Linked DNA regions of Oryzias latipes. The main gene of each other region encodes a partner of the protein of the gene in region 2 in a complex. Links are inferred from orthologs where the notes say so. Each region holds a gene or a part of one and is shown on either strand. Other genes may lie near its edges. The genes, in order: glmp and mfsd1.

The links.
Region 1: the proteins of mfsd1 (region 2) and glmp are in contact, whole or in part, in a cryo-EM structure (PDB 8R8Q), measured with the Mus musculus proteins. The link is inferred for Oryzias latipes from reciprocal best matches to the Homo sapiens genes MFSD1 and GLMP. Residues at the interface, in NP_080089.1 of Mus musculus: Val288, Glu292, Lys293, Arg295, Phe349, Phe351, Leu411, Asp412, Lys414, Gly415, Tyr416, Leu417, Leu418, Val421, Ile424, Ser428, Leu432, Val435, Leu439; in NP_064387.1 of Mus musculus: Glu250, Asn252, Ser253, Ile254, Asp255, Asp256, Glu257, Pro260, Ala261, Phe263, Gln264, Arg292, Phe364, Leu367, Val368, Ile371, Met372, Ala375, Ala378, Leu381, Met382, Gly385, Phe389.

The regions. Positions count from the first base shown.
Region 1 is NC_019869.2:4,733,395-4,748,369, reverse strand, and holds glmp (glycosylated lysosomal membrane protein), read right to left. Parts: upstream 8,359-14,975; 5' UTR 8,181-8,358; coding exon 8,070-8,180; intron 7,201-8,069; coding exon 7,036-7,200; intron 6,463-7,035; coding exon 6,364-6,462; intron 6,287-6,363; coding exon 6,122-6,286; intron 6,041-6,121; coding exon 5,822-6,040; intron 5,748-5,821; coding exon 5,479-5,747; intron 5,410-5,478; coding exon 5,235-5,409; 3' UTR 4,325-5,234; downstream 1-4,324. Other genes in the region: protein JTB, read left to right, coding at 1,663-1,751, 2,014-2,054, 2,138-2,223, 2,427-2,506, 3,253-3,409; cct3 (T-complex protein 1 subunit gamma), read right to left, coding at 9,441-9,524, 9,606-9,737, 9,840-10,085, 10,168-10,348, 10,424-10,505, 10,991-11,123, 11,195-11,344, 11,429-11,615 and 4 more. UniProt on the Homo sapiens protein: Required to protect lysosomal transporter MFSD1 from lysosomal proteolysis and for MFSD1 lysosomal localization.
Region 2 is NC_019871.2:13,135,062-13,150,134, forward strand, and holds the start of mfsd1 (major facilitator superfamily domain-containing protein 1), read left to right. Parts: upstream 1-5,062; 5' UTR 5,063-5,118; coding exon 5,119-5,284; intron 5,285-5,463; coding exon 5,464-5,516; intron 5,517-5,892; coding exon 5,893-6,005; intron 6,006-6,116; coding exon 6,117-6,159; intron 6,160-6,266; coding exon 6,267-6,334; intron 6,335-7,488; coding exon 7,489-7,597; intron 7,598-7,685; coding exon 7,686-7,788; intron 7,789-8,268; coding exon 8,269-8,367; intron 8,368-8,578; coding exon 8,579-8,690; intron 8,691-9,084; coding exon 9,085-9,141; intron 9,142-9,341; coding exon 9,342-9,498; intron 9,499-10,559; coding exon 10,560-10,657; intron 10,658-10,760; coding exon 10,761-10,873; intron 10,874-10,983; coding exon 10,984-11,031; intron 11,032-11,190; coding exon 11,191-11,257; intron 11,258-12,055; coding exon of another isoform or gene 12,056-12,134; exon of another isoform or gene 12,135-12,444; intron 12,445-12,459; coding exon of another isoform or gene 12,460-12,466; exon of another isoform or gene 12,467-14,650; intron 14,651-14,796; coding exon 14,797-14,902; intron 14,903-15,026; and 1 more. Other genes in the region: P2Y purinoceptor 12, read left to right, coding at 1-177, 1,011-1,490. UniProt on the Homo sapiens protein: Lysosomal dipeptide uniporter that selectively exports lysine, arginine or histidine-containing dipeptides with a net positive charge from the lysosome lumen into the cytosol.

The DNA.
Region 1 (14,975 bases), on a different chromosome or scaffold from region 2:
AAAGTGGACAGTTATTGTGCATATTTGTTTTTCCTAAACTATACTGATTTAAAATATAAACAAATCTCGTTATGTATTAATAAATGGTTTGATGTTTGAGAATCGTCTCTTCTTGTGAATGAAACTACTGGCTGCCTCTTTAACGTCCGCCAACATTCCTTTTTTTTTTAATTGACATCATTCAGAATTACACCGCATTTTTTCCATTTGGAACATTCCAATCCCAAAACATAAGGCAGTTTAGCCTTTACAAATAGAAAACTAGAACAAAGTCTAAGCAGCAGATGAAAACAATATCAAATCATAAAACAGGGTTATAAGTAATAAATAAAACATAGACATATGATACACCTTTTGATACACCCAAATTGAATGTTCAGGTATAAAATTGTTGGGGTTAAGTTTCTTTGTTGAAAGCCACCCATATAAGTCATTCCAGAAGATTTTAACCAAATTACAATCATGAAAGAGGTACTTTTGAGTTTCAATATGGTTTGTACATACGGGGCATAAATTATCATGTATATTAAATCTTATACGTACAAAATCCTTACAGTTTCCGCCAGCGGAAGTGTCTGAATTTCAAAATAAATAGCTCTAGCTGTTTTAGGCTAAAAATTAATAATAATATTTATGATAGTAATGTATAATCTGACGCAAACTAATGATAAATTTTACACTGTTCATTAAAAAAATTCTGGTTACGAATAACAACTGACTTAGTCCTTGAACTATTTGGAGGAAAACTCTTATGATGAAACTATGCAACTTGTTCTGGTTGTTTTTTGAGCAATCCCAAATGATAAATATGTTTATTTTTATGTATAAGAATAAAATAAAATTTTAACTGGTTTATGACAAAACTATACACGTGAGTCATTTCTCACCAGGGAGGACTTTACGTGCTCTTGTTTTGAAAGAACCACACCAGAAGAGTTTCCTGTGTTTTGTGACGTCTTTGTATCGACGTGAGGCCGTAAACAGGTCCGGTGGCAGTTTTTGCATTTAACCACCAAAGCGGATCAGATTTATCGACTAGTTTCAGTCTCGGCTCGTTATAAACAAGTTTCTTGTTGTAAACGTCTCCTAGCTTCCGGAATGTCGGTTGATTTAGTGGATTACGGTGAGTGGACGGAGTTTAGCTAAACTGAGCTAATATTAGCCTAGCTTAGTTGGTTACTAACCAGACAGTGTAGTAAGTAGACGACTGTTGTCTGTAAAGATTAAATTGATTTCTATCTCGAAAACATGACGTTATTTTGTCTTTTGTTGACTCTAATTTGTGTGTTTCCATTTATGACATTAAGTTAACTGGATTTACCGTTTTGGGGGTTAGCCAGTTTGGTGGATCAATGACTGGTTGTTATTGTTAACTTCTCTGTTTGTCTTCACCTTTTATATCTTAATACGTTATATATTCCAAAATATAATTTGTATGCAATAATCACTTACTGATTGACAGAACTGTTTCATCTTTCAGGTGTAAACTTCCTGCTACCTTAAAACGATTCCCCCAGTCTGACCATCATGTAAGCAGACAAACAGGACCCCATCTGTGAACCAAAGAAGGGCTCGCAGGCCCAGAACCAGTCCGGACAGACCACTGACCCAAAGCGAAGACTCAGGGTGGCTGTGGTCCCACCCAGCTGGAGAAGCAGACTGATGGAGAGCGACTGTCGGATCCCGGTTGCTTGTTGTCGGCCGCGGTTCCTCCTCCTTCACGCTCTTTTCTGGGGCCTGGTGTCTCTCAGGTTAGTCTGTGTGCTGGGGTCAGAGGGCAAACTGATGAGGTAACTGCGTCTCATCTGAGGTTGAGGTTTACGCTTATAGGGGGAAAACACAGCCGCTAAAATAGAGAACTATCCTTGTAAATTGTTACTCAGATTGTGGTGAATCTGATTCAGAAGAAAACAAATGTGGATTGAAAGTAATATAGAAGACTTTTACTGTATTTAAACTTTAAATTCAGTCCATCAGTAGCCTTAACTGTTTCTCATGTTGTTTTGGTTTTAGAGTGTTTGGAGCAGCGCTGCTTAACGAAGAGAAAACTGCAGGTAAAGCTAAGCCATGTTTGTCACCCATAACTGTTTGTTTCATGATGTAACGCTGAAAATGGTTGCATTGTTCTCTGCGGCAGCAGTGAAGCCCGTGGCCACTCCCTGCTGGCTCATGGAGGAGTTTGTCGTGGTGGACGAGTGCGTACCCTGCAGCGACTTCCACTCTGTAAGTTATTTGAATTGAATACAGCTGGATTTTTTTGACCCATATGTTAATAATATTATATCAAACTGAAAGAAATGTTGTTCTACCATTTATTGTATCTGCAACACTTATAATTTAAAAGCATCGGATCATGTTGGGATTCTAACACGTGTACTCTATATGGAAATTCTACTAAAGCGATCGTTTTTTGTATGTTTTTCTAGAAAACACAGTTTGCATGCAAACAAACAGGATATGTCGAGAGGATCAATTGCACTAAATCCAGCAGGGAAGACTACAAAAGGTCAGTTCTGGATTCTTACTGGAACCACGTTTGCAATCTGAGACTCTGGAGCTCCAAGTGGATCTTTTAGCCCTCAACTGTGGCAATCTACTTGAAGAAAAAAATGTTTTTCAGAAACCTTTTTTAGAAATCTTTTGAAAAAATTTCAAGGATTTGAAGTTGTTTATGCCCCGAGAAATTTGGTCAGGGGCGGTAATTACCTCTAATTTAAAATTGGTTTGTTAGATTTACAAATTTCTGACTGAGATGCACCACAAATGGTAAAGTAAACTGTTTATAGTTTGTTTGTCCTGGATTGAAATAATTCTGTGATACAGGATGTCTTTTTATTTTGAAAGGAAGTCATGTAAACCTAGATCAAAACTTATAAAGAATTTATTATTTAGATAAAAAGGAAATTTTCCTTTTATGTTCTGTATATGCCAAAAAAAGGTACATTTATTATTATCATAACAGTAAAAACAACATAACTACAAAGCAGTGTCTCATTTTTCCCCCATCTGCGGTGGTTATGGTCATTGAGAAATCAACCCGGATGTCTTTAAGTGTTGAAGGTTGCAGACTCCCGTTTTAAATCATCCTTTAAAATCTCTAGCTGATAAAATGCATGAATCTCTCAGCTTTTACTCTGAAATCTAAACTGTTAATGATCATTTGCATAATTAAAAACAAACGAAACTGAAATCATCCAAAAGATTAGATTCATTTATTCACGATTAAGGAATGAACCGTCTTCTTCTTTTCAGTTGTCGATCTGCTTCGATGGAGGAGCATCTCTTCTGGAAGTTTGAAGCCGCCACCATGGCGCTGACAGCTTTCTTCGCGGCTCTCGTGGTCGTCCGTCAGCGCCAGCTCGATCGGCGGGCCTCTGAAAAAGTCCGACGGCAGATTGAATCCATCTAGGACTTCGAGAGCTGCTCCACTGTTTTTTTTTTTTTTAAATTCTCCTCAGTATTTTTAGCAGAAGGTGTGCAACAATGACCGGAGACAGAAAGACAAAACGCTGTTCACGTTGACTTTAAAGACGCAGATTTGGACGATGGGATGGCGAACTGTTGCAGGATCCTCAGACGCTTTCAGCTTCATCCGTTGGAGTTACTTGTATCGTCCACCTTAAATTCCTGTATGAGGTCTCATCCAGTATTTGCTGTCTTTCAAAACACCAAATGAAACTTCTGCGTCAACCGTCTCCCAGCCTGATGGACTTTCGGGGTCAACTTTGTGCTAAAATAAGACAGAAAAATGTCTTCCTGCTTATTAAAAAAAATAAAAAAAGAAACACGGTTTGTTACTTAGTGAAATCGATGTTTGGATTCTGAAACTTGAGATTTCTGACCCTTAAATAATGATTTTAAAATGGTGTTCTTAAAGGAAAAAAGCTGTAAACCTGAGCTGTTGTGAAAGTGGGCGGAGTTTGCACACCATTAAACTGTTTATGAATGAATGCGGTCAACAACTTATTGATCACTGATGGTGTTATTGGCTGACGGGTTAAGTTTAATCAGGACGTGACTATGAAATGAAGAACCACCACCTTGTTTCTGTTCTGATTTAAGCTTTTATTTTAAATCCAAAAGTTTTCTTTTAAATGTATTTTTGCCTTTATTAACATTTTGTCGAAATTATTCTTACAAGAGCTGAAGGTCAAACGTCTCTGCAGGTGTTTTACAAACAAAAGGTTGTGTTGCTCAAATGTATGGATCCTATTTAGCTGAAATTCGATGACAATTACCTGAAAATACATGTTTTATGTAATTTTGTGTTAATGGAATGAAAAATATTCTGATTTATGAAAAAAAAGGGAACTGAGAAAAGGCAGAAAGTCAATCTTTGGTTTTATTTTGCCTTGTAAAGTAGCAAAAAAGCACTTATTCTGATTTTAAGCACAAAAATTCTACAAATATTTTGTATTTGCTAATTTCAATGGTTTTTCCTGTTTTTCTCAGCAGCTCAAAACAAATATCTTGATAACTTAATACGAGGGAGGCTTAACTTCTAAATACTTTTACCAGTTTGGACACAATTTAGCCTAAAATGTCTCTTTCATTTGTTTATCAGACTTGGCTTCTTCTTTTTGCTTATTCGTTGAAGGATAAATGACCTAAACTACAGCTGAAATAAAAACGTTAGTGTAAGAAAATCTATCTTTAACAAAAAAATAATTGTCTAACCAGCAGGACAAATGTGTCTGAGAGTAACAAAAAAAACAGATTTTTCAGCGATTTATTTAGACAATATATGAGCCAATCAGCTGCTGGGCAGCTTTCAAATCATCAAATGGTTTTTGATAAACCTCGATCCTTGGCAACAACAAAAAAAAAAAGATAATTTGAACTTGTAATGGCCAAACTAGAACACTTGGCAAACAAACACTGGCACAATTAATCATCAAAACTCCCTGAACGTTTGTATAAATGCATCTAATTATATAAAAAATGCAACAAATCCTCCTAATAAAATAAAATATCAGCAAGCGGCTGACCAAGAACGTAAATCTTACAGAAAAAAATATATATATTATTTTTAAATGGCAAATATTTCCGATTCAAACACAAAAAACTGCCTTAAATTTAAGAGTTTGATCCTAAAGTTCCATAATCCTTTTTAGGTCAGACTATCCTGCTGGTGCTTTCTGCTTATTCCAGGTTAGAGACTAAAGTCTGGAATATGAATCCCGCAAGAAAATGTCTTTAAACCATTTCTAAAAGAGTCTCTGTCCTTCCATCCATCAGTTGATTGGCTGGTAGGTTGCCGGGGAGCCGTGCCTCCTCTTATGGAGGCAAACCAAGGCTCCGCCCACCAGCAAGAGGATCATGGGAGTCCCAAGACCCACGGCCATGATGGCGAGGACAATCGGAGAGAAGGTGTCAACGGGAGGAGCTCCGACACCCACCAGCATCGTCCTGAAACAGAAGATGCGTTTGTCGTCTGACCCTGACCCGTGGTTAAAGGTTGACCAGAAGGGAACCCACCAGCTGAGGAACCTGGTGCTGTTGTAGAACGGTTCTCCTGCCAGGCCAAAGCTCACGTTCAGCCCCGTGATGTTGGGTTGGGAGAAGAAAGCTTGGATGAGGGCGGAAGAAGCTGCCGTGGCGTTTCCGTCCTGAGTCTGGGGGTCCGAGTAGCGGCATGGCGTGGCGTCCTCCAGGGCTGGGTTGGACTGGCGGTACGCCACCGGCTTCCACTGGACGTAACCCGACACGTCTGAGCCGCCCTTCACAGGAGACACCCACTGAGACACCTGACGGGTGAAGGGAACAGGCTGTCCATGTTTGGTTCCGACTCTGACGTTTGACGTTTCCTCCGGTACGTCACCTTAAAAATTGACGGCGTGAACTCGTCGTCAATGAACTGGCGGACATCCACTCTGCTCAGAGGGAAGTCTCCGCCCACCGCCTGCATCTCCAGCAAGAACCTAGAGTTTGCCGACCGTGGCATGATACCATGCAGCCAAACCTCAAGCTGGGAGGAGTTAGCTGAGTGCAGGAGGCGGGGCCAAGACTCTGCACGCCCGTCGGAGTCAAAGACAGACAACTGCAGGGAACGATTCATCAAAACATTAATGAATACTTCTCTAAGTTTTGTTAACATAGAAATTAAAAAGTGTCCTCAAACCGTCAGGCAGAGGGATCCGTTCCCGAACTCGGGGGTTTCTCCGCACAGCCGAGCTTTGGCGTCGAATAGTTCCAGGCGGTTCCAGTTCAGGTTCTGGAGCTCGTAAGGAGGGAAGAAGTCGGAATCTGGCATGGCGGTGTCATTCGCGTCGTCATACTCCAGCAGCTGAGGGACACAACAGATTTATGAAGCAAACCCAACGTTTCCATGGAGACCTGAGCTAGCAGAATTTCCCAACTGACCCGACTGAAAACCACGGCGATGCTGTACTGGATGCTGCTCTGCGGCTCCACACTGAGGCCACCGCTGACGTTACGGCTCAAAAACTGAGTCCAGTTCACCTAATGCACCGAAAAATGAATGCAGATTAAACACACCTTATTATGATGTTCAATTCCTCTTAAAACTTGTAACCCTTGTGCAATCATAGGCACTTGACATTGGAACTGGGGTCATCTAGACCCACTACACAGTGCGCTAAACCTTTTTTCTTCAATGATTTGTGATCTTCACTGGTGTCCATGGATTACATGAAATCCTCTTCACCTGTATCCACCTCTGTCATGGTAGGGAGAACACGTCAATGTAAGAATTGGGTCATCTGGACCCCATAGGATAGCACAAGGGATAATCATAGCTTCATTAATGACTGAAAGAAAAATTATTTATCTCCCAAATATACATTTAAGTAAATTCTCATTAAACAGAAAAATATATATATTTAAATAATTACAGATTATAGTGAATGCAAATGCTGCTAAACAGAATTTACTGTTTAGTTGTGCATCAAAATGTGAAGAAATTGCTATTTTGTAGAGATTTGATGAAAGAAAAAATAGAAAGTATATTTTTTGTTCATTAATTTAATCATTAATACTACAAATACTTCATAAAAAAATACACTACTGTCAAACCTGAACTAAAGAGTTGCTTGTGTTGGTGTGAACTATCAGCAACGTTGGCGCCCCCTGGCTGCACCACAGGAAATGCAGCGTGTCGTTATCTCCCACAGCTCGCACATGCAGCAAGTCACCACCAGGTGGCACTGATGTTGAGTTTGGGTTCAACTGCAGGGTCAACTGAATAAGCACAGGTGAGAAAAATCAAAAAGATTGTCTGCAGATTAATGAAAATGCAGCAGATTCATGTCTGCTTCAATATAGAATTTTATCGGGTAATTTGAATTTTGTTATGACACAGAAAATAAACACAAAGTAAACCATCCTGATTGAGAGATTTTATCTCACAGTAGTTTACATTTTCACGTGACTGTGATATTCACAAAGCCTGAAGGATACAAGAACTAAAAAAAAAGCAAATATTTTCGAAGTAAAAGTCCTTTATTGATTTTCTTAACTACAAACGAAGATAATTATAATATATTTATTCAAGCTTATTTTGAATATTATTTCAGAATTATTTAGGCAAATTATCTCAGCTGATAAAATGCAATAAACATGGCAACTTTTTTTGCAAAGAACAAAAGCCTTTTAACTTATAAGGTGAATTTACAAATGGTCATTTAGACGGTAAAACGTTTTTTAATCAGCGTCATTTAAAGTAAACAACAAGGAAAGAAAGGTAGTAAAACATTTGAATAAAAATTTTGATTACTAAAGCGTACAAAAAAACAAGTTTTAAGGGACATCGCCATATGAAAATAATACATCAGGATCAAAGTTATATTTTCGGAAAACCAATCATTCAATCTGCAATCAAAATGAAAGAGCACAAACAATAGAAGAAATTGCTGAAAACTACAAATGAATTGATATAACTAAGAATATCACAAAAGGAAAACTTCGATTTCTAGGCGTGAATTAGTGGCATTTTTGCCATGATATATGATAATGTAATCAAAACTTTCACTTCCTGTTTATTTTTCGTGGTTTTTGTCGAACATTAGGGTCTAAATTAAAGAACTTCCGGGTACGCTTTACTGTCTTACCTGTCTTTTATATTCGTTTGTCCCGCCAACTAAACACGGGCAAAAACTTAACCGTAAAATAAGCAAAACAACAAAAACTCTGTTGCCTATCATTGTCCCTGCAGCCGCCATAACTGTTGTGAAAGTTCTGCGTTGAGTCACATGACCCTCCACTTCATGTCAGCTGAGCGTTAAGAAGCCCCGCCCCCTCCAGCCTTCTTAAAGAAACAGTCATAAATAATGAGTTTTGACTTTTTTTTTCCCACATACCGAAAATATTCGGGGAATTTGGATTACATATTATTGTTAGCATGTATTGGGCAATCAAAAACAAAACTATACTCTAAACCTAGATGAAAATAATACAATTTATCATTTCCGGTGACAGATTTAGACAAATCAGCAGTTCTGATATGAGATGGGAAAAACTAAAACTTTTATCTTTCGCATTTTTAAATATTTCTAATGGTTGCCCTGTCATAAAAAAAATGTAAATACGTTTTCTTTTGAACACAACTTTTTGTGAATAGTTCAGTAATAAATGAACTAAAAATCTGACTGGCTTCTTAGAGTTAACAAAATCGTGTTTGGAGAGATTTTTTAAATTATATTATAGCCTATAGCTGTTTATATTATTACATTTTTATTTAACTTGGGGTATTTGATCTTAGCCTATATTAAATAATAGCATAAAACTTATTTATGATGCTATATAGAACCTTGATGGCCTTTTTTTTTTTTTTTTTTTTTTACGAATTAGTGAATAATTAAATTCCACTCTTTCATTTGACAAATCAAGTTTGCCTTTAACATTCTGTAATTAATCTAAAATGCAATCCTAGGCTGTGGAGCAGAACCAGCTTACACTTGTCCAAAAACATAAAGGAGTTTAAGAACAAATGTGGAAATATTAATAAACATTTACAAATAAAAATAAATCTAAATATTTATGATTATAAATTTGGGGATTAAGATTTACATGGAATCAAATGAGTGTTTGTTTTTAAATGATTATGGGTATATTCATTTATTTGTGAAGTTAGATGTGTGCATGGATATAAAAACTGAAAGTGTTCTCATTTGAGGGAACAGTAATAAATTTGGTCTAGGAGGTGAGAATTTCTAAGGCTTTTCTGATATTTCTTGTATATTCTTTTTATATTTTGTCTCTTAATGTACGTGTCTCAATTAAACATCATCCAATGAGCCAAGTTTTGTATGATCAAACTATTCACAAACTTGTAAAAAAAAACATCTTCAACCACAAAAATGAAACCAGCTCTTAACTTTGTGTTTATTAAGTTTAAGTGAGTCGCCTGGTCCCCACACACACACATACAAATGCGCACACACACACACAACTGGGCTGTTGAAATGTCGACGTCAGAGGATCTACTCGGCTCCTTGGCCATCCGCCTTGTCCTTCTTCTTGTGACCAGAAACGATGTCGTCGATGCGCAGCAGCAAGATGGCGGTCTGCAAAACGTAACCCAGACCCGTCAGTGAGGGCGGAGGTCATCATTGTCGATCGGCGAACATCACGCCGATCGCTCTTACCTCAACCGCCGTCTTGTAGGTCTGAGCTTTGACGGCCAGCGGCTCCCAGATTCCCAGAGTTGACATGTCGGTCAGACAGCCGCTCTCCCCGTTGATGCCCCAGCCCACATTTCCTTCTTGTGTGTGCTTCGCCTGAACCAAAAATATAATTTTTTTAAAATTTTTAAATAAAAAAAATATAACTCCCGAAGCCATAAGGAACAACAGGATGTTGATATTTTGTGTTTTCTGTACCCGAAGTGATGTCAACACTCTGATAGTGGAGGCTCCGCAGTTCTGGATCAGCGTCCGAGGGATGACCTCCAGCGCCTGCGCCACGGCCCGGTACGGCCACTGTTCAATCCCCGTCAGGGCCCGCGAGCGTTCCGTCAGACGCTTCGACACAGCCATCTCCACCGCACCCCCGCCGGGCAGCAGGAATGGGTCGAGCAGCACGTTGCGGCACACTTGCATGGCGTCCTGCAGGTTCCTTTCCACCTCCTGTAAACCGAAGCAGAGCGAGTGAACTCCAAGCGAATGAATCGGGTCGATCGGAACTTTTGCGTGCCAGTGGTGTCCTCACCGCCAGGATCTCCTTGCTGGCTCCTCTCAGCAGGATGGTGCAGGCTTTGGGATCTTTGCACTCAGTGATGAAGGTGAAATACTCGTCTCCGATCTTCTTCACCTCAAACAGTCCGGCTCCCAGGCCGACATCCTCCTCACGCAGCTCGTCCGTCCGGCTCACAATGCGAGCTCCACAGGCCCTGAAAAACAAACAAACAGGTGAGTTCAGACACGTTGCAGACGTGTTCGCTGATAGAAGACGGAAATCGAAGTACCTGGCGATGCGGTTGTTGTCAGTCTTCCTCACGCGGCGAATTGCAGTGATATTTGCTTTAACCAGGTAGTGCTGGGCCAGATCTGAGACGACCAGAAGTCAGAATTAAACCAATTATTTCAAATATTTTCAAGACGGATGGACGATTTTAACAAATGTATTTAAATCCCACTCCGATGGTGTTTTGAACATGTTCTTGTGGCATTTTTCCGATGATGATGGACATATAACAAGAAAATTGGTCTGAAATATGCATCTCTGAGCATTTTTTTAATTTAAATTGCTGTGAATCGAGAGCAGATTATAAAACGGTCACTTGAAAAAGATCGTATTTGTGACGTAGAAGCTCCCTGCTGAGAGCTTTCAGTAACTGGGAGTGAAGAGGTGGGCGGGGTTGCTCTTTGCCAACGGTGCTCGTTTTTATTTTTTTGGCTAGAAATAGTCTAATCTTAACTAAAAGACCACTGGGAACTCCCTAAAAACAGATCCAAAGACAATCGAAGTGGGACTCGAACATTTGTCAATCCCTCTGTGTGGACTATGTCTTCCCGCTCTGAGGTGGACAAACCTGAGATCCCCTTCTCAGTGAAGATCAGGTCTGGCTTGAGGCGGACGATGTCCTCACAGATCTGCTGGATGTAATCTTCTTCCATTTGCAGGATTCTGGAGAAGTCCTCCTCCTTGCTGATCTCGATGTCGGTCTAGAGGCAAACAGGCGGGTCAAACGCTGCACCACGGCGCCGTTGAGGACACGAGCTCCAGTGCACTGTACCTGACTCTCTCCTTTCTTGTACTCCAGAGAACAGTCCAGCAGCACAATCCTGGGGTTTTTGATCATCCGTCTCATTTTGGGGTGAGTGACGTCCTTGTTGATCATCACGCCTTTCAGCACACAGGAGTCCTCGATGAACCCGCCCGGAACCTGCAGGATCACAGAGGAAGCCGTTTGTAACTCACCGCATTTAAAGTCGCACCTGTTTGATATGAAGTTATTCAAGGGTAGTACCTTTTCTACTTTGGCGTAGTTCTTGATGTCGATTTCTTTGCGCCCATTCTCCTCCAGCTCCACCGTGCGGACGGCGTCCAGGGCGATGGTGCAGGCCAGGTCGGACCAGCGGAATAGAGCCTTGGTGTTGATGGCAGAGTTGACGATCTTCAGCATCATGGAGCGATCTGATGTGTCCACAGGAGTGCTGCAGAAAGTTCAACTCTTTAAGACACGCCTTTAGATTTACTCCTGAGCCGTGATATTCATTAAAAAGATTATTTCAACGGGATACATTTCTCCACTACACCTGCAACCAAAAATAAAAAAATGGTTCTGTCTTGAAAGAAATTGATGTGAATAAGGGATTCAATTTATAAAAAAAAATAAATAAAAAAAAAGTCAAAAACACTCCAGACTATGGATGCTATTACTAAACCCTTTAAGACTGGAGTTGTTGCCATTGACAGAATATGATACACCCTTTCTGAACTAATTGAACCAATTAATGCAATTCCAACAGGTTCTGAGAAAAGCAGCTTTGCACTGATATTACAGTAGTTTCATGAGCCGCATTGAGTTTTGCGGCAGTGACTTTAGAGAATCATGGGAAAAGAAAAGAAAAAACGATCGTTTTTAGCTGTTTACTGGTGTTTTGTTAGAACTTGTGAATAAAGTCATTCGTATTGTGAAAACCATTGTGTTGAACCAGGACGATGACTAGAGGAGATGGAAGGTGGGTTTTCATCCTACATGCAGTAGGTAAAACGTTTTTGTACCAAAGGTGATTTTGATTAGATTTACCATCATAATGTTAGTTTTTTATTTATTCATTTTATTTGTTTTATATATGTTCATAGAAATACAAGAATTTTTTTTTAAAGCAAAAATGCTCATGTTCCTTCTGTTTTACATAAATCAAACAGATTTGTCACTGGCTGCGTTTCCATTGACTGTGAAATCAATACAGCAGATGTTTTGGGAGCTACCGCTAGCTTAAGCACCTCCTAAAGAGAAATACTAGAACGCACTCGGCAGAGCATATTTGGTAGAAGCAGCCTTGAAACTGTTTTGCTGCGAGTGGCTTGACGCATGTTCTCCCCGTGCGTGCATGTGGGGGTTTTCTCCGGCTTCCTCCCAAAAACATTCTTCGTAGGTTAATTGGTGACTTTAAATTGTACCTAGGTGTGAATGTGAGTCTGTGTGGGTGTTTGATTTGTGGCACCGCGACAGACAGGTGACCTGTCTATAACGTCCCCTGCCTTCACCCACGAGTGGCCAGGATAGGCTCCAGCAGCCCCGTGACCCCGAAAGGGGCAAAAACGGGTTTAGAAGATGAATGAATGATTGGTTTGATGCACCAAGTTTAAAGTCACAAACCCAGAGAACAAAATCTAAGTTTTGACTAACCAGCCAAGTTGGCTGATAAATGAAAAAAAAAAAAGTTCTACCAACCAAATTATTCCATATTTTAGAAAGAAAAACTATAGGTGTTATATTAAAAAATGATTTTATGGAAAGACAACATAATTAAAACATCAGATAAAAACAAATGTTTTCCTGAGGAACTTCCGTTTTGATTTTTTTTAATCAATCTTTGCTTCTGCTTTTGCCGTTTTCACGCCGTCTATGAAATGTTGAGTTGTGTCTGTTTTCCTGCTGAAAATCGCCCCCCTGAGAAGAGGGCTTTCAGTCTTCAGTCTTCACCTGTGGTGAACCAACTGTACGGTCAAATAAAAAAACCTGCTGAGAAAACGAGGACAGATTTACTGAAGGGGAGCAGATCGACAAAAAAAAAAAAAATCCTAATTCTGCCTCCAGTTGATTCATTTTGACATGGAATCATAAAAAAAACAGACTGAAAAGATGATCATGTTTTGGATTCTTGCCATGGGCAGTAAAGACGCGGCGCTCTCACGAGGGGAGGCGGGGCTTTTTCCAGCTCAACTCCGCCTCTGTAACGTTACAAAGACACTAATAATAAAGTTCCATAAAAACTGGCTTCAGTCTGTCATTATATTTATAAAATATATATATTTTAAATGTTCCACAAGTTAATTTTGTTGGATTTATCCGCCACGTCTTAAAGTTTGCTCCTTGAAAATATAGTCTGACTTCAAACCGGTCAGTGATCACATGTAGGAGACACACGGAAAAGCTCCTTAGCACAGCATCATAGCATGATAGCACCGTAGCATTTAGCATCGTAGCATCAGTGTGTAACGACACCGCTGTCTTCAAATCAACACTTTTCATTAAACGTTCTGTTCTTTCTGGATCCTGGTAAAAATTGTCACATGTTCAGCTGATTCACTGAAGCAACTAGCACAAGTTAGGAGGGGGGGGGGCACTTCCAGCAGCAAGAAGTAGCTCCTCTTTGCTTGCTGCTGTTTTCACATCTGCACTGTGCGAGAGACCGGCGGGCCGACTTTACTCAAGACAACAGAAGTGCGAGAGAGCAGAGAGATGGGGAAATAAAAATGTCTATATTCGCTAAAACAAATCGTCCAGTTCTGAGTGTACCTGACTTCCTTCAAAGCTTCAAGCATGTCCTCCAGAGCCTGTCTGTAGGCACTAATAATCACGGTTGGATGCATCTGCTGCTCAAGGAAATGCTCGGCTATGGACAGCATCTCTCCAGCTGTTGCAGACGGAAACAAAAAGTTACAAATGATCAAGTCAGATAACAGTCAGATGTATTAATGAAGAAAAAAAAGAACATCTCCTTACCCAGAATGATGACAGAAGTGGTCCCATCTCCAACCTCTTCATCCTGAGTGCGGCTGATCTCAATCATGGTCTTGGCTGCAGGATGCTGAACCTGAATCTGTTTCCACAAACAAAAGGGTCAGACACATAAACATCACAACTTACTTTAAAAAGTTACATTTTTGAGCAGAAAAACATCATTTTTTGTCCATCTAACCTCTCTAAGAATGGCGTTTCCATCATTGGTCATCACAATTCCTCCTGTAGGATCAAGTAACATCTACGAAAAGCAGCAAAAACCGCATGTTATTGCCTCAGACTACAGACAAACACACTCTTTGTGGGTTATTGTGCGTGAAAGCGTTGAAGACGGTGAGCTGAACTGACCTTCATCATGGCTCGAGGTCCGAGGCAGGTTCTGATGACATCTGCAATCATCTGAAATAAAGAGAGACGTTAGCACCTGAGGCACAACAAACTAAGAAGAGATCACAGACAGAAAAAAACTGGTTAAAAAATATGTGAGGGACCCTAACCAGCCAACAATTACACAGTTAAATTCATTTACCAGAACAACTGAAGTTGAAGCATTTCATGGGGAAAAAAACCTGCTTTTAATCACATCAGCACTGCTTTTGTCCTTACAAGTCAGCCCAGATTCATTATATATTCATAGGCTTGTTTTAGTTTCTGTCAGAATATGGACACAACATAGCTTTTCTTCCTTATCTTTAGTTTTTTGTCGTTTCTGTTTTTTTTGGATAAATCAAAAGGTTTAAAAAATTCATTCCTACACAAAAACAAAAGCTAAGAAATAATTAAAACCTTTTGACAGGTTTGAATTTTGCTGAACTGTTAA
Region 2 (15,073 bases):
GTTTGTGTTGGCCAGCTGCTGTGTGCAGCTGTTTGGGTGCTGATGCTGTGTTTGGCACTCCCCAACGTCATTCTCAGTAATAAGGAGCCACGTATCTTGGGAAACAAACTCAAGTGCTCCTCCATGAAGAGCGAAGCTGGCCTATATTGGCATGAAAGATTCAACTACTTCTGTCAGGTAACTAGTTAATGAAAAAGTTATAATATATTGTGTAGATTTTCAACCAGTTTGTAGTTTTATCAGTTTTGTGATTCCACAATTGAAGGCACAACAAAACATGAAGACCATAAACTGCTTTATAGTCAATAGCTGCATTATTTTAAAGACAAAAAACAGCATATAAAGAAATATGAATGTGTCAAACACGAAGACCCCCTTCATTTGAATGGTGAGAAAGTAGAAATTATATATTTTGACTAAATTTTAAATGCTTAATTAAGTCTTTTAGACATCTGTTGTTGGTTGTTCCTAATTTTCTTCTCTAATTTGATATAACACTTTTTCATAATTGAGCATCATTTACAGCTGAAAAAAATGTAAAGACCCACTCCAATGAAAATAATGTTTTTGGTGTTTTTAATGTGTTATTGTAGCATTTTCCTTATGATGAGGAGATGTAAAAAGAAAATGAAGATTAAAATATAAGGTTTGATAGTTCACATACAACTCGCCGTTTTTATTGCACCTCTAATGCTAGCTTGGGCTTGTGAGGGGCTGTTAGCTAGCAGAAGAGAGTGTAAACAAAGAGATGATAGGAAATTAGGGCAGGCTTTCCTCGACACAGCAGTGTCCCACTCCCACACACACACAAATCGAAGTTCTGATGAACTGCTGCCGCTCTACACAAATTATGTCCAAAAAACAACAGTTTTTTTTTTTTAAATGTTGCCTAAAACAGCATAATTATAATTAAAACACCTCTGGTAACACTTTTAATATAGATCAAAAGATTATTGGAGTATCACTATAACCACATCGAGTGCCTCATTAAATGTTGTTTTGGTTTTCAGGTTGTCTTTTTTGGGACACTTGCCTTGATGGTGGTTTGCTACACCTTCATCAGCAAGAAGGTGTATGAGTCGTACAAAGCCTCAAAGAGCAAGTCCCAAGCAGCCCGTCGCAGAACCAAAGCAAAAGTCTTTGTAGTGGTGGGGGTGTTTGTCATCTGCTTTGCCCCTTTTCATATGGCCCGCGTACCATATACTCTGACTCAAACCAGGGACCTGAGGATTGATTGTCATGCAAAGAATGCACTATACATTGCAAAGGAAACCACCCTGTGGCTGTCTGCCACCAATGTCTGCTTGGATCCACTTATTTACGTTTTCTTGTGCAAGGTGTTCCGGAAAAGACTGACAAATACAATCTGTAAAGCCACCTTGGAATCTCCAACAGCAACGTCGACACAGATGCAGATGTTACCAATCAACCACACTTCTACACTGTCACACAACGGAGTATCACAGTTACCATCTGAACACAGTGAATAACTGTACATGACTGAGCTTGATTAGCATGATAGACTGTTTGCTGTAAACAAAGTTTGTAAGTCTTGTAAAAATTCCAAAAATAAAAAATGAGCTCATTGGATTTAGAGGAATTTAGAGGATGAAAGAAAAAGGGAAAGCATTCTGCAGTTGTCGTTCCTTTTCATGATTTCTATTTTGGTTCCGAGGAAGTGCTTTTGTCCACTGTTTGTTAACTCATCAAAACACGTTTCCTTGATTTGCTTACTGTCAATTTGAACATCCTGCCCTCTAATCTTGTACAATATGCGTTTCTCCTTTGCAAGACTTTGGGTACAGAGTGACCATCTTGACACAAGCAATTTCCCTCTGATTACCTCTGACTGACGGGAAATGACTAAGCAAAGAAACACAAGGCTGCAAGTGAAGCTGTTGAAACGTCTGTAAATATTTAAATATTTTTAAATGTATTTTTACCATTGTTAATAATAAGTTCTATTTTCCTTCTCCAGCTAAAATTGTATTATAGTAATTTTCAGATTTTAAATTTGCTCTCATTTTAATAAATAGTCATTACTAAACATTTAGAGTGGTTTTACATTTGTATGCAGGGGAACCACATAAATCAGACTGGAAGTTTAAATCAAATGTAAGACAAAAAGAAAGTGAAAAAATAAACATGAAAGCAAAAAACTGTGTTTTGTTTTTTTTGACAAATGTTGCAGCTCAGTAGCGCTGGGGCACAGATAATCAAAGCAAGTATTCAAAAACGTTCTTTGTATGTTACTTAGATACAACATTCTTTCATAGATACAAAAATTGCATTCTAAAAAAAAAGAAGAAAAAAAAACATGCATTCAATCTTCCTAAAAGATAGACTGATATGTGCTTAGTAAAACAATTTAAACTCAAGAAGAAATATTAAAACAAATTGTAAATTTAATTATGTATCAATCAGAAATATAAATGTTTATTTACATAGCAAAAGTATAAACAGATATCTTAGTTATTCCAATTTTATGAATTATTTGTTTATATATATATATATAATTTCTGATGAGCACGGTTTGGATGGGCACGCGGGAGCTGTCCAGTGCTGAAAATCATTCCAAAGCCTGCAGTGATCATCGAGAGAGGAACAAAGCTCTATACACTTGCGTGTATCAGGAGATTCGCAAGGTTTGTGGTTATTGTAAAAGTAACTATTTTACACTATACCATACTAAAGAAGACGGAAAAGAACTATAATTCAAGAAATATTAACTCTGGTAGTTTATAAAATGCACACTGATGTCCCACTTGTCCTGCTTTTTTGCGGTCGCTGTGCCGGTCCATTGTGGTGAAGAGAGAGCTGAGTCAGAAAGAAAAGCTCTCAATTTACCAGTCGATTTTTGTCCGGAGACTCACCTATATGGTAATGAGCTTTGGGTCATGTCTGAAAAAACCAGCTCCTATATATAAGGAGCCAAAATGAGCTGGCTCGGTCATCTAGAGAGAGCTCGGAATAGGACCGCATCATGAGGAGCCAGTTGAGGTAGCTCAGGCATCCGGCCAAGTCCTACTGGGCGGAGATGCTGGATATCGAAAGTCCCCCCCAGAGGAGCTAGAGAAAGTGGCCAGGGGAGAGATGTTGGAACGCAGATGCGTGAAAGAGAATGGATTAGAAATTGGATCGTCCATAATGAAAATACATTATGTATTTGATAATTCAATAAAACAACATTTCAATTCCTCATCTGTTTTCATTTTTTTTTAAATAACTTTATAGAATTTTAATTTGTTGTGGTCTTCTTGCACAAAATACAAAAAGAATTTGCAAAAAAACAAAAGGTTGACCAAAAGGCTTTTACAATAGAATTAGATTTTGACAAAATATCACAAACATTAGCGTTTGTAAGTGAGTGTAAGTTATTAGAAACTGCAACAACATTAACCAGATGGGCAAAATTTATCAGGGCACAGGTGCCCGCAACATTTCCCACAAATGCACTGCGAACGGTGACACCACCACAGTACCACCGGGTGCCTGCTCTGCTTTGCTTCAGTGGGGTGGTGACGCTGTGGGTGGATGAGCACAGGCTGTCATCAATATGGCCCATACTAGATTCACCTCCTGCTAAAACAAAAAAAGTAGAATTGTTTGCAGCAACATTGGTGCTAAACACGGATTTTTCTTTTCTTTTGGTGTTTGATTGGTGCAAACACTTTGTCCCAAAGTGCACATTCAGTTTTCATGGTTAATTTACTCATCATTTCAATTATACATGCTACATGTAATTCAGGGGGTGGAGCAGCTATTTTGAGTTAAGGCCTGGGACCCATGCATGCAATGCAATCAGACTTCATGGGCCTCCCAGCCTATACTGCTAAGAGTCACCTATGGACAAATTTCATACCTAGAGTTACTTGCTGTACGTTAAGGACTTTCACTTCACTAAATCGTGTCAACGGGCTCATAGTTTACATAGTCTGAGGGCTTGTCTTTGGTAGAGGCTTCGGTGTTTCATTATTTTGATTCAAAATACTATAAGATGGGGATCACAATCACAATTATCAGGGCTAACAAAGAAGTTATGGTTCCTTGAAAACTGCAAGGCCAAATATTTCTTTTCTTGTCTTTTTTTTTGTTTTTTTAAACGGGCTCCACGTTGTGTCTGCTCAGTTCAAGTCTGCAAGTCCTTTCAGGTCTCTCCCTAAGTACTGCGCGGCTGGGTCTGCAGCTCACCGCTCCCCCAGGGGATGGGTCAAATGCGGAGAACTAATTTCACACACCTAGGTGTGTGACAGATAATGTGATTTAATTAATTTTTAATGTATGTGCTTCACCGGTTTGAGACGTAAGGGACACTAAACATCCTGTCCCCCTTTGTAGCCAGACTTAGGCCTTGTCTGCAGCAGTGGGTAACCCTTTAGGAAACTTACAGAGTTCAGGATGAGACAGGTGGATCCAGCTTTGTCAATGAGCTATTTTTATCACTGTTGGTGTGGTCAGTAGTACTTGGTAGGAGCCTTTAGGATGACACCAGGTCTTAAGCCTAATAACAGGGGAGTCAGGCATGTGGTTACTCTTTTTAATTCTTTTGTTTTGTAACATTTTATTCATGTATTCCACTAATATTATACTATTTTTATTTGTAGTAAATACCACTGTGACAAGTGCATAGTTTGTAACTTTGATTTATTTTTATTTTTCATTATTATGACTTTTTATCTCATAATGGTGACTTTTGGTCACAAAAGTTTGACTATTATTTATTAATTTTGTTTTTCATCTCACAATTTAGCCCTTTTTGATAGGTAGGGTTTTTTTTATTTTATAAACGTTATTTTAAATGCCATAAATTATACTTTTGATCTCATTATTATGAATACTAATCCTAATAATTTTGACTTTTTTTCTTAGAAGCCTAAAGGATGACTTTAAAAAAAACGAAAGGAATAAGTAAACTTTTTTTTTTTGTGAATGAATATTACGCTGAATATTGTTTAAGTTTTGACCTTTTGTCCTAATCATGGTTGTATGTTGTAAAGCTGCTTAAACAGTGAGCGCGCGCCTTTGAACGCGCCTGGAAGGCACGCGCGTACAGATGCCACGTGACTCACTCGCCGTGCTGGGTCACATGATCGGTCGCTCCTCACCAAACAGTCGAACATGGCGGACTTCGTGGAGCGGCAGAACTTGTTGGAGGACGATGAAAGCTCCCCCGCGGAGCGGCGCTCAGCCTCAGGAGACGACAGACCGATGTCCGCCATCTGCGACCCCAGCCGCCTTCCCCACCGGGCGGTCGTTCTGGTTTTCATGTGCTTCCTGGGATTCGGTGAGCTGGAAACACCTTCCACCAAACCGGTTTGACGACTGGGAGGATTTTGGGATTACAGCTGCTGGGCGCTCCGAATTGTTGCTTATTGCTGTTTGTCGATCGATGTTAGCAGAAATGGTTAACAAAAAGGCTCTTATGTGTTTCTTGGTAAATCATTTGAATATATTTTTTTTCAGGAAGCTATTTTTGTTATGATAATCCCGCCGCACTTCAAACCCAAGTCATCCAGGCAAGTTGAAGAAGTGAAACTGTTTTTTCTTGTTGTTTTTTTTTTTTTTTTTACACAAAAATGATCTTATCTGACATTTTTAAACATATTATACAGATTGGATGGTTACAAAATCCCTGGATTACACGCTTTTAAACTTAGATTACTTCCAAACTTTTTGTACAAAGAGATAAAAACTCAAACGTTCAGTTATGTTTTTCACTTTTTTGTAAACATCTGGTTTCCTCTTGAAACAAACCATACCGTCTCTCTGAGTTTTTCTGATGCAAATGGGATGCATACTCTTATTGTCCTTTGCTGTCATGCAGCTTGCTGATTTGAGAAATAATAAGACGGAGAACCAGTCCTGACTATAATGTTTTCCTCCTGTCTCCAGGACTTGAACCTGAACACTGCAAAGTTCATGCAGCTGTACGCCTGGTACTCCTGGCCAAATGTTGTCCTCTGCTTCTTTGGGGGATTTCTGCTCGACAGGGTTTTTGGAATCAGGTATAAAACCAAGCTGCATGTTTACTTATTCCTTCCAGATGTTTGTGTAAGTGTTCCTTAAATGTCTGCCATGCTGATCATCTGCATTGTTTTGCTGATGTCCCCCCTTAGACTGGGAACTATCATCTTCTCCCTCTTTGTCTGCGTTGGACAGGTAGGGTTTGAAACGTTCCGCACATCAGATACTTGATAAAACTTAATTTCTTTTGCTATTTTTTTTAATTTGTTTAAAAAAACAAAAGTATTTGAACTTCTTCACAGGTAATTTTTGCTGCTGGAGCTTGGTATGATCTCTTCTGGCTGATGGAACTTGGACGTTTTGTTTTTGGGTAACCCCATCAGCCTATCAAAAGACATTTTTTATTAAAGTTCCACTCCAACAATAATTTTATACCTTGAGAAAGCGGTCTTTTAATTATTAATATAACGTTATGAGCCAAAATCAAGAACCCTTTGTCTTTTTTCTTAAGACATATTTTCTGCAGAGCGGCAGGAGTTCATAGGACATTTGCCTCTGATTTGAGGGGGGGGACTGTTGGTGCGGAAGTCAGCCTCCACTGATATCCCATCATCCCTTTGTTTACACTCTCTTCTGCTATCTTACAAACCCAACCTAACATTACCAGTGTAACAAAAGTGATGTTTTTTACCTCACAGTAAGGAGGCCCCCGCTTCAAGCCCCGGGTGGGGGACCTGAAACAGAACATCAATGGGGAACCTTTCAGTTTGGAGTTTGCATGTTCTCCCCGTGCATGTGTGGGTTCTCTCCGGGGTCTCCGGCTTCCTCCCACCGTCCAAAAACATGCCCCATAGATTAATTGGTTACTCTAAATTGTCCATAGGTGTGATTGTGTGTTCATGGGTGTGTGATTTGTGGCCCTGCGACGGACTGGCGACCTCTCCAGGACGTCCCATGCCTTCGCCCACCAGCGGCCGGGATTGGCTCCGGCAAAACGGGTTTAGAAGATGAATGAATAATTGTAGACTTTTATTTTGTTGTTTTATTTTTTCTGTTTTACTGATCCAAAAAATGATCTGAACCGTGACTCTAAAACCGTGACACGATCTGAAACGTGAGTTTTGTGAAGCGTTGCACCCTTAATCAGAGCGATCCAACTGTACAGTTTTGAGCCAGATTGCAGCTCAGACGTTGATGGATCTATTTGTCTACAAGTGGATGCATCAGAATGGAGCGGAGCAGGGAGACTTTCAGTTCCTACGTCACACCTGAGAGCTTTTTCAAACAGAATCGGCTCCCGATTCACCCCGATTTGAATAAAGAAATGCCCAGAAATGCAGTTTTAAGCTTAAATTCTTTGACATATTTACTCGATCATGAGAAAAACGCGACAAGAACATGTTAAAAACACCCTTTTCATTGGAGTGGGTCTTTAAGCTAAACAAGAAGAGTCTCTAAACCTTTTAGGAACACATGTCTAACTATGTCTTACATTCTTTATTTATTTCTTCATCTCTTCAACAGCATTGGAGGCGAGTCGCTGGCTGTTGCCCAGAATACATATGCAGTCAATTGGTTTAAAGGCAAAGAACTCAACCTTGTGTTTGGCTTGCAGCTGAGCATGGCTCGACTGGTACGGATTTAAGAAAAACAACAACGTAATTTCAATTTTTGTTTTTACGAGCTGACACAATGTGTATCTTTTTCCCTGATACATGTAGGGCAGCACAGTCAATATGAACATTATGGGCTGGGTGTACAACAAAGTTGCAGTTGTCGTTGGTTCACCTGGACCCACTACGCTTGGTGCATCACTCATGATAGGTATGTGACACACACCTGCCAAAACTCCATGCTTCAACACTAGTCTAAAATCATGAAGTGAGATTCTAGCTGCCTTTTGCTGCCTCCGTGCTGGAAACACTAGATCCTTTCCCTGCAAGTGCTGATCTCAGATTACACAGCCAGCAAAGAGAAGTAAGAAAGAGAACCAAAAGTGCAGCTCGCTACCTCAAAAAGAGTCACAAGGACAAGGAGAAGTGTCGGTTCAATTTTATTTCTTACTACGTGCAAAGAACTGCAACCATTTCTGCAGATCTTGCAGTAGTCTTAGTTTATGATATGTTTGTCCTGCTCCTGTGTTCTTAAAACTGCACTTTGACCATCTCAGACAAACGCACAAAGACAATTGTGTCAGCTAACACAAATCCAACATGCTGGGATAATCTTATCATTCTGAAAAAAGGGTCAATTGTTTGTTTGTTTGTTTTGAACTAATTTATCTTTTTCTTTTTCTCTTACTAGCTGCAGTGACCTGCCTCTTTTCTTTAGTCTGTGCATTGGTGTTGGGATTCCTGGATAAGAGAGCAGAAAGAATCCTTCACAAAGAAGAAGGAAAAACAGGTAACATGAGAAGTTGCCCTCCATCAACCTCTTTCCACTTTGACGCACCCATCAAAGATCACTAGAGGGTCCTGCAATATCAATGAAACATGCAGAGATTTCAAGGCCTTGCATTTTTTTCTGACCTCATTTAGAGCGCTGAATTCCAAGAGTTTCTTGTGATTATTTGCAAGTAAGTGTTGTTTCAAACCAATCTCACTCTGCCTTTTAGGCGAGGTGATCAAGCTGACCGATGTGAAAGATTTCCCACTCACGCTGTGGCTCGTCTTCATCATCTGCGTGGGTTACTATGTTGCCATTTTCCCTTTTATTGGACTGGGCCAGTAAGTAGTCTGTCAATTCTGTGACTCATACACAGCCATAACTCTTCCTCATTATTGCTGCAGTGTCTTTGCATTACTTAAGGCTGACAGTCCGAGCGATGCGTCGTTAGTTCCACTTCTATAGCTCAGGAAATAGGGTGATTAAGTAGGATGTCCAGTGCTTTGTCTAATGCATGAGACGCTTAAAAAAAATAGAAGATAAAAAAAAAAAGTGAAACTGTATGTACGGAAGTGAAGTGCTTGTGTGATGCAGTGCACAGACAACGCAATGCCAATGGGAACCAGAACCAATACGAAGAAGATTGAGTTACTCTAGCAACTCAATTTGCTCTCTTTTTCTGATCATATCTGTGCAAGTATATGCTGTGAACCGTTATCGTATTTTGACTTTCAGAGTATTCTTCATTGAAAAATTCAACTTCTCTCCAGCTGAAGCCAGAGCTGTCAACAGGTAGCTCACATTTCTTTTGGAATTAAATCTGCATTGTGGACTGTAGTATTTTTTAAGTATTTTTGTGGCTTTTTTTTTTTTAACTTTCTTTTCTTTTTTCTCAGCCCGTTTGAACCCAATTGCTTTACATTTAAGGAATAGTGAATCTTTGCATGATTTCAAAAGCATACATTTTGGCTGATGTGGCATATTTTTCCCAGTATTGTGTACATCATCTCAGCGCCTGCATCTCCCGTCCTGGGCTTCGTGGTTGATAAGACGGGCAGGAACGTGGTTTGGGTGATGATGGCCGTGGTTGCAACGCTTGCGGCTCACATGATGCTGGCCTTTACCTTCTGGAACCCATGGATTGCCATGGTAACTAAAGAAAGCAGAAATATGTGCTGTACTTTAGTGAACTATTGCACAGTAGAGTCGGGCGTGAAAGTTAGTACCTTTAGTCAAGCCATCATTTATATTTTTTAAATCTTGATGTCAGCCTTACCTGGTTTTATCAACCCCTAATTTCTGTTTTCTAAAGAAAATTGTTGATTAAGGATGCATTTGTCAAAAGTTACGACAAACAAGATCCAACTTTTCCTTTCAATTTTTAACCCTAGAAGAATTCTGTTAAATCCTTTCTTTTATCCAAATCTAGTTCAGGAGGGAATAAAATCTTTACAGCTGTGAAGATGCACGGGATCAGATGCTGGCAAAATTCTTTTTGTCTGTCTGAAACTCTTAGCTATGAAATATAAACTTTTCAATGAATTCAATAAGGAGAGATCTTGGGTATAGGAACAATAAAGATGTATTTGTGATACAAACATGTAGTTCATGGTCTTTTGGCAGTTAGAATCTGGGCAAATGACGTCTTTATTCTGAATGGATAGGCTCAGATGAGTAAAGCCCAGAGCCTAGACACCAATGGTGGTTGAGGCCAGTCCATGAGTGTTGGTCATGGTGGAGAATGGAGCACAGAGTAAACATCCATGAATTTCAATCAGAAATATGATTGTGATTGGCTGGGAAAAGAAGGCGGGGAATCTTGCTACTGGTTTAGAGTGAAGGTTTAATTGATGAGTAAGTGACAGATTACCTGGGAGTGAGGTAGGTCTTCTTTATTTTGTTTGGTTTGAGTTTACTGTGAAATGCAAAGTTTGCTTTTATAGCTTAAACTTCTGAATCATTTTTCCAAAACTTTTTTCTTTTTTGCTTATGTGGTTGTTGTTCTTTTAATGCATAGAGAGGGGTTTTTAAAATTGGCCTTTTATTTTAAGTCCTGAAACCAGAGGGAAAAGTCGATCCAGCAAGCTTTTCATTACGTTTATACCAAAATTTGATATGTTTTGTAGTTTTTGCTGTGACTAAAACAGATTTCCGAGGATTGTTTTTGGAACATGATGGCAGATGAATCATCATATCCCCTTGTCTTCCAGTCTCTGCTTGGTGTGTCGTACTCCTTGCTGGCTTGTGCTCTGTGGCCCATGGTGGCCTTTATGGTGCCTGAACATCAGCTGGGAACAGCCTATGGCTTGTACGTACATGTTTCAGTTGCTTAATAATATTTATTTTTCTTGGCTTGGACATCTCTTTGTTCATATAACTGTTACTTGTCTTGCTGCATTTTTGCCTGGCAGCATGCAGTCCATCCAGAACCTGGGCCTGGCTCTCATTGCCATGGCAGCCGGCGCCATCCTGGACTCCAGAGGCTATCTGGTTTTGGAGGTCTTTTTTTGCGCCTGCATTTGCAGTCAGTATTTTTATCTCTCTTTTCTGCTTGTCTTCTAAATATTCCGTTTTACCAAACTTACCTGGCACTTTTGAGCAACAATGTGGATTTCTTCTCCCTTTATATCCCAGTTGCATTGATCGCTGTGGTGATGCTGTACTTTGTGGATTACGTCAAAGGTAAGAACTTTATCGTCCTGGACTCTCCTGCTTTATTTCTTGTTTTCGCCTCTCTTTTTCCTCTCTACCCTCCCCTTTTACTACCCTGCACGTCTTTAGCTCCCTCTACACTCAGACAAATGCATTTCATAATCCTTTTGTTTGTCTGTCTTGCTCCAGGCGGGGATTTGAATCAGTCGGCTGCAGCCAGAGCCAAACTCCAGAAAGAAGCCACGTCGGATGCGGAGTGAGTAGCATTCATCCTTCATCTTTCATAACTTTTTTTCCAAACAGCTTAGCCAAAAAAATGATCTTCCCATTTAATCAACTATCATCATTTAAGGAGCTACAAAGGTCTTTGTTAGTGAATCTAGTCTCACTGAAGCAGGAAGTGTCTTTAGCTGTACTACTTTTTCAGTAATATTGAGATTATCAGTTATATAATAACAAATTATAAGGTAATGCCAATACTTCTTGAAAAACTTTCAATACTTGAAAATCTTGTGTTTTATAGTTGATGGCCTGATATGATAAATAGTTGATTTTGTCACATATTGAGAAATAAGTGTGACTGTGAGTGTCATTATTTTCCAGTTTGTGTTTTCTTTTCTTAAAGGAAAGAAAGCGGGTTAAATAAGGTCCACAAATTCTGCCAAAATTCGAAATTTGATCAAAATATTTCCTAACTGAGAGGGAAAGTGTCCACTGCAACAGACTTCAACTCAGGTTGTGGATATGAAAGAAACCACAGTGGCTAAAAAAACAAACAACAACTGCTCCTATGTGGCGTTTATGTGGTGATTGCCACCTAATATTAGCATCTGGAATCACATTTTTGGGAGGGATTTAACAAAACTCAGAAAAAATCAGTGTGATAACTATAATGCAACTCCATCTAACTATTTAAACTCGGTTCACCCTTCTGATTTTTATTCATTAAAAAAGAGTAAAATCTTGTTGGTGGAGGGAAAACTGAACGTTTGTGACTGTGTTAAATGAAAATGTTTTTCATCTAAGATTTCTTTATGCTCATTTTGTTTTCAAGTTTATTCCATCTTTTGCAACATGAGCTGCTGGTACTAACGTGTAAGATCGAGCATGAGTTGAAGGAAAAACCGGATTAATTGCAACTTGATGCTGTCAAACTCTTCTCTGTTTCATCTTGACCTTTTTAGTGCATCGACTGAAACCTTGGCCTTCATTTCATTTCACCCGTAGAGCTGGCTGCATGTCGGCCCAAGCACCTGTGGTTGTTATTTAGATCAGTCTCTTTTTATACAAACCACACCAGTTCTCTTTCTGGGCATGATGGCTTTCTGTTCTTCTTTGCATGAGATTTCTCAGAAGTTGCATCCATTTCGAAATCCTCAAGCTTATTAATTGCATGTTTTTTGGTGACTTACCAGTACTAATTTATTTTTGGTCCATGCTGTAATTGATATTTTCCAGATGATGATGATGATGATGGTGAACGAACACACATGGTCCTGGGTTTCAGAGCCAGGAGCCTGCACTGTCCCCCCCAGGACTGCGGGACTGACTCCGCCCAGTGATGTCATCTGTGGTTTTTCGCTCCAGAACTGACTGTCTGGATTGGCTGTTCCGTAACCCAGTGTCTTAAACTGACAAATGACCAAAACCCGCTTTGGACTCCAGTTTACACCGACTGTTTCTGGGCTCAAACTGACTGTCAAACTGCTTCATGATGACACTTCTTGACAGATGAAACAAAGTCGGGATTCTTAATGTAACTTTGACCCTTTTTGTATCCAGAAGGACGGTGCATACATCCCAAATAAGTACTTGATTCATTGTGTTGTTGCACTTAAGATATAGGATTCCTATATCAGGTATTATATGTACACTTGCTGAACTGGTTCAGCTACTTATTATTTTTAACTGCATTATCAAATGATGCATGGCTGTAACACTCATGCTACTTTCACACCGGGTATTTGTGGAAGGCGCGGGCTGATTGTGGGTTTTTGTTTGCCCTTTTTAATGGTGTTAGTACATGTCTGACACTAGTACATGTACTAACAGTTAGAAGAAGCTTGGTGCGAAATGTCAAAGAAGTGCAAATCTTGTGAATTTTGCACCAGGCTTTTTCTTTCCCAGCTCTATTCCAATATATGAAAGACTTGATGTCATATAATTCTGGCACAAACCGCAGATATTAATTTCTCCCCCATGATCAATTCTCAAGTGTTTGGCACTTCCGTGTATTGAAAAGGACGCCATCCATACATCGCTGCCAAATCCATGTCCCTGATTGGTCAAAGTTAAACGGGTTTAACTTTTGACGCTTGCTCAATTACTGTGCGTTTTCTACATAGAGCCCAAACAAACTTGTGTAGCAACGCATGAATGCAAGAGTGGGCGCTCGAACGTGTGTGTCCGTGCCTGGTGTGAGGAATTTTTCAAATATTTTGTTCTAAGGCTTCCATTTAAATTCAGTTTTTACAAACGTGTTACTTTACCAAGCTCAGGGGAGGTCCGTGTAAAAGCACTCAAATGGTTATGGGCCGAAGAAACATAGTCGACGCACTTCGCTCAATTCTTTTAGGATTCCAGTAATGTTGCATATCTACAGTCATGTGGAAAACAAATCAGGACACGCGATCCGGTCTCGGATAAGTGGAGGAAGATGGATGGATGGATGGATGGATGTTTACAGCCCGTCTTAGGTCAGGAACTCTCCACTTCCTAGTTTTCAGCGGGTGCTTGGTTGGTTACGTTTGGGTTTTGCATCATGATTGTGTTTTTGGTCTATTTCCACTACCTCTTTACTTTCTGACAGAGGGTGTCATATCTGTCACATCCTCTGATATACAGCAAAATTCATGGCGGCATCCATAATTGTGGGCAGGAAGAAAGGACAAGGTACATTCAAAAAGCTGAGTAACAATTGACTAAACATTTGCAGTTTATGCTTGTAAGACTAAAGAGGAGGTTTATTGATGAAGTTAAGGAGGGCATGAGGGTGGTTGGTCTTCAGGAGGATAGAGTCAGATGAGGGAGGAGGATTCACGCAGGACTGATGCATCTGTGTTTCGAGTGACATTCAACGAGCGTCCCAACTAGAAGTACAACTATTTTTGTTAAATTACATTCGTAGATCTTTAAGTTTTTTTTTTTTGTTTTTTTTTCAGATTTCATACTCAGAATCGGTTACGGTGCGAGTAAATAGCCATGTATCCCAAAGTTTACACAAGTTTTTATGTATATCGTAATTTTTTTTTCCACATGACTGTATATTTTTGTGATGTTGGCTAAACATACACTTATCTCATTTGGACAAAAATGCCTCAATGGAAATATTAAAAACACATTAAACACATGCAGGAAGATAGTAACTAATAAATGAACCATTATTGTGATTGCAAATTAAAACGTCTGAAAGACATGGTTGTCGTCACTTGACCTCTGATGTGACTTTAAGTTCAATCTTTGTTCAACTCATTGGGTTGGACCCAATAATCCAATTTGTATTTGATCTGTGTCAAAGTTTGAAAGCGTAAATGAGAAGAAGAGAGAATCCAAATAGACAGGAAGATAAATCATAAAACGTATTTTTTTGCCAAATAATACAGTTGTTGCAGAGATTTATGACATTCAATTAAACATTGATTCTTTTTAAGCTGTGTTTGTCTTGCCTACTTTAAATACACTACTTCTACAAGCTTTTGCTGCACATGTTTTAGTCATAAAGATAATAATTCTGGGGTGTTTTTGTGAGCATAGATGTTTTGGATGTTTAAGGTGGTCGGGTTGTTATTCCTGCAGGGCTAAACGGAGACCCATCAAGCAGACACAGGGTGATTTTGCGAGACTGGCACCCATGTCTGCTTTTGGTCTGCGCAACCGGTACCTCTCCAGGCTGGGGGCACAGGTAGGTTCACACACAAATATATAGATTTTTGTGTATACTTTTCTATTTGTAAATATTTTTTTATTTCTTGTATAACTGGTACATGAGTAATGCGGTATTGCATCTTTTTTGTGTCTGACCCCAGCTCCCGGACCACTGCTCGGCCCATTTGTCTTCACTGGCATACAGGAG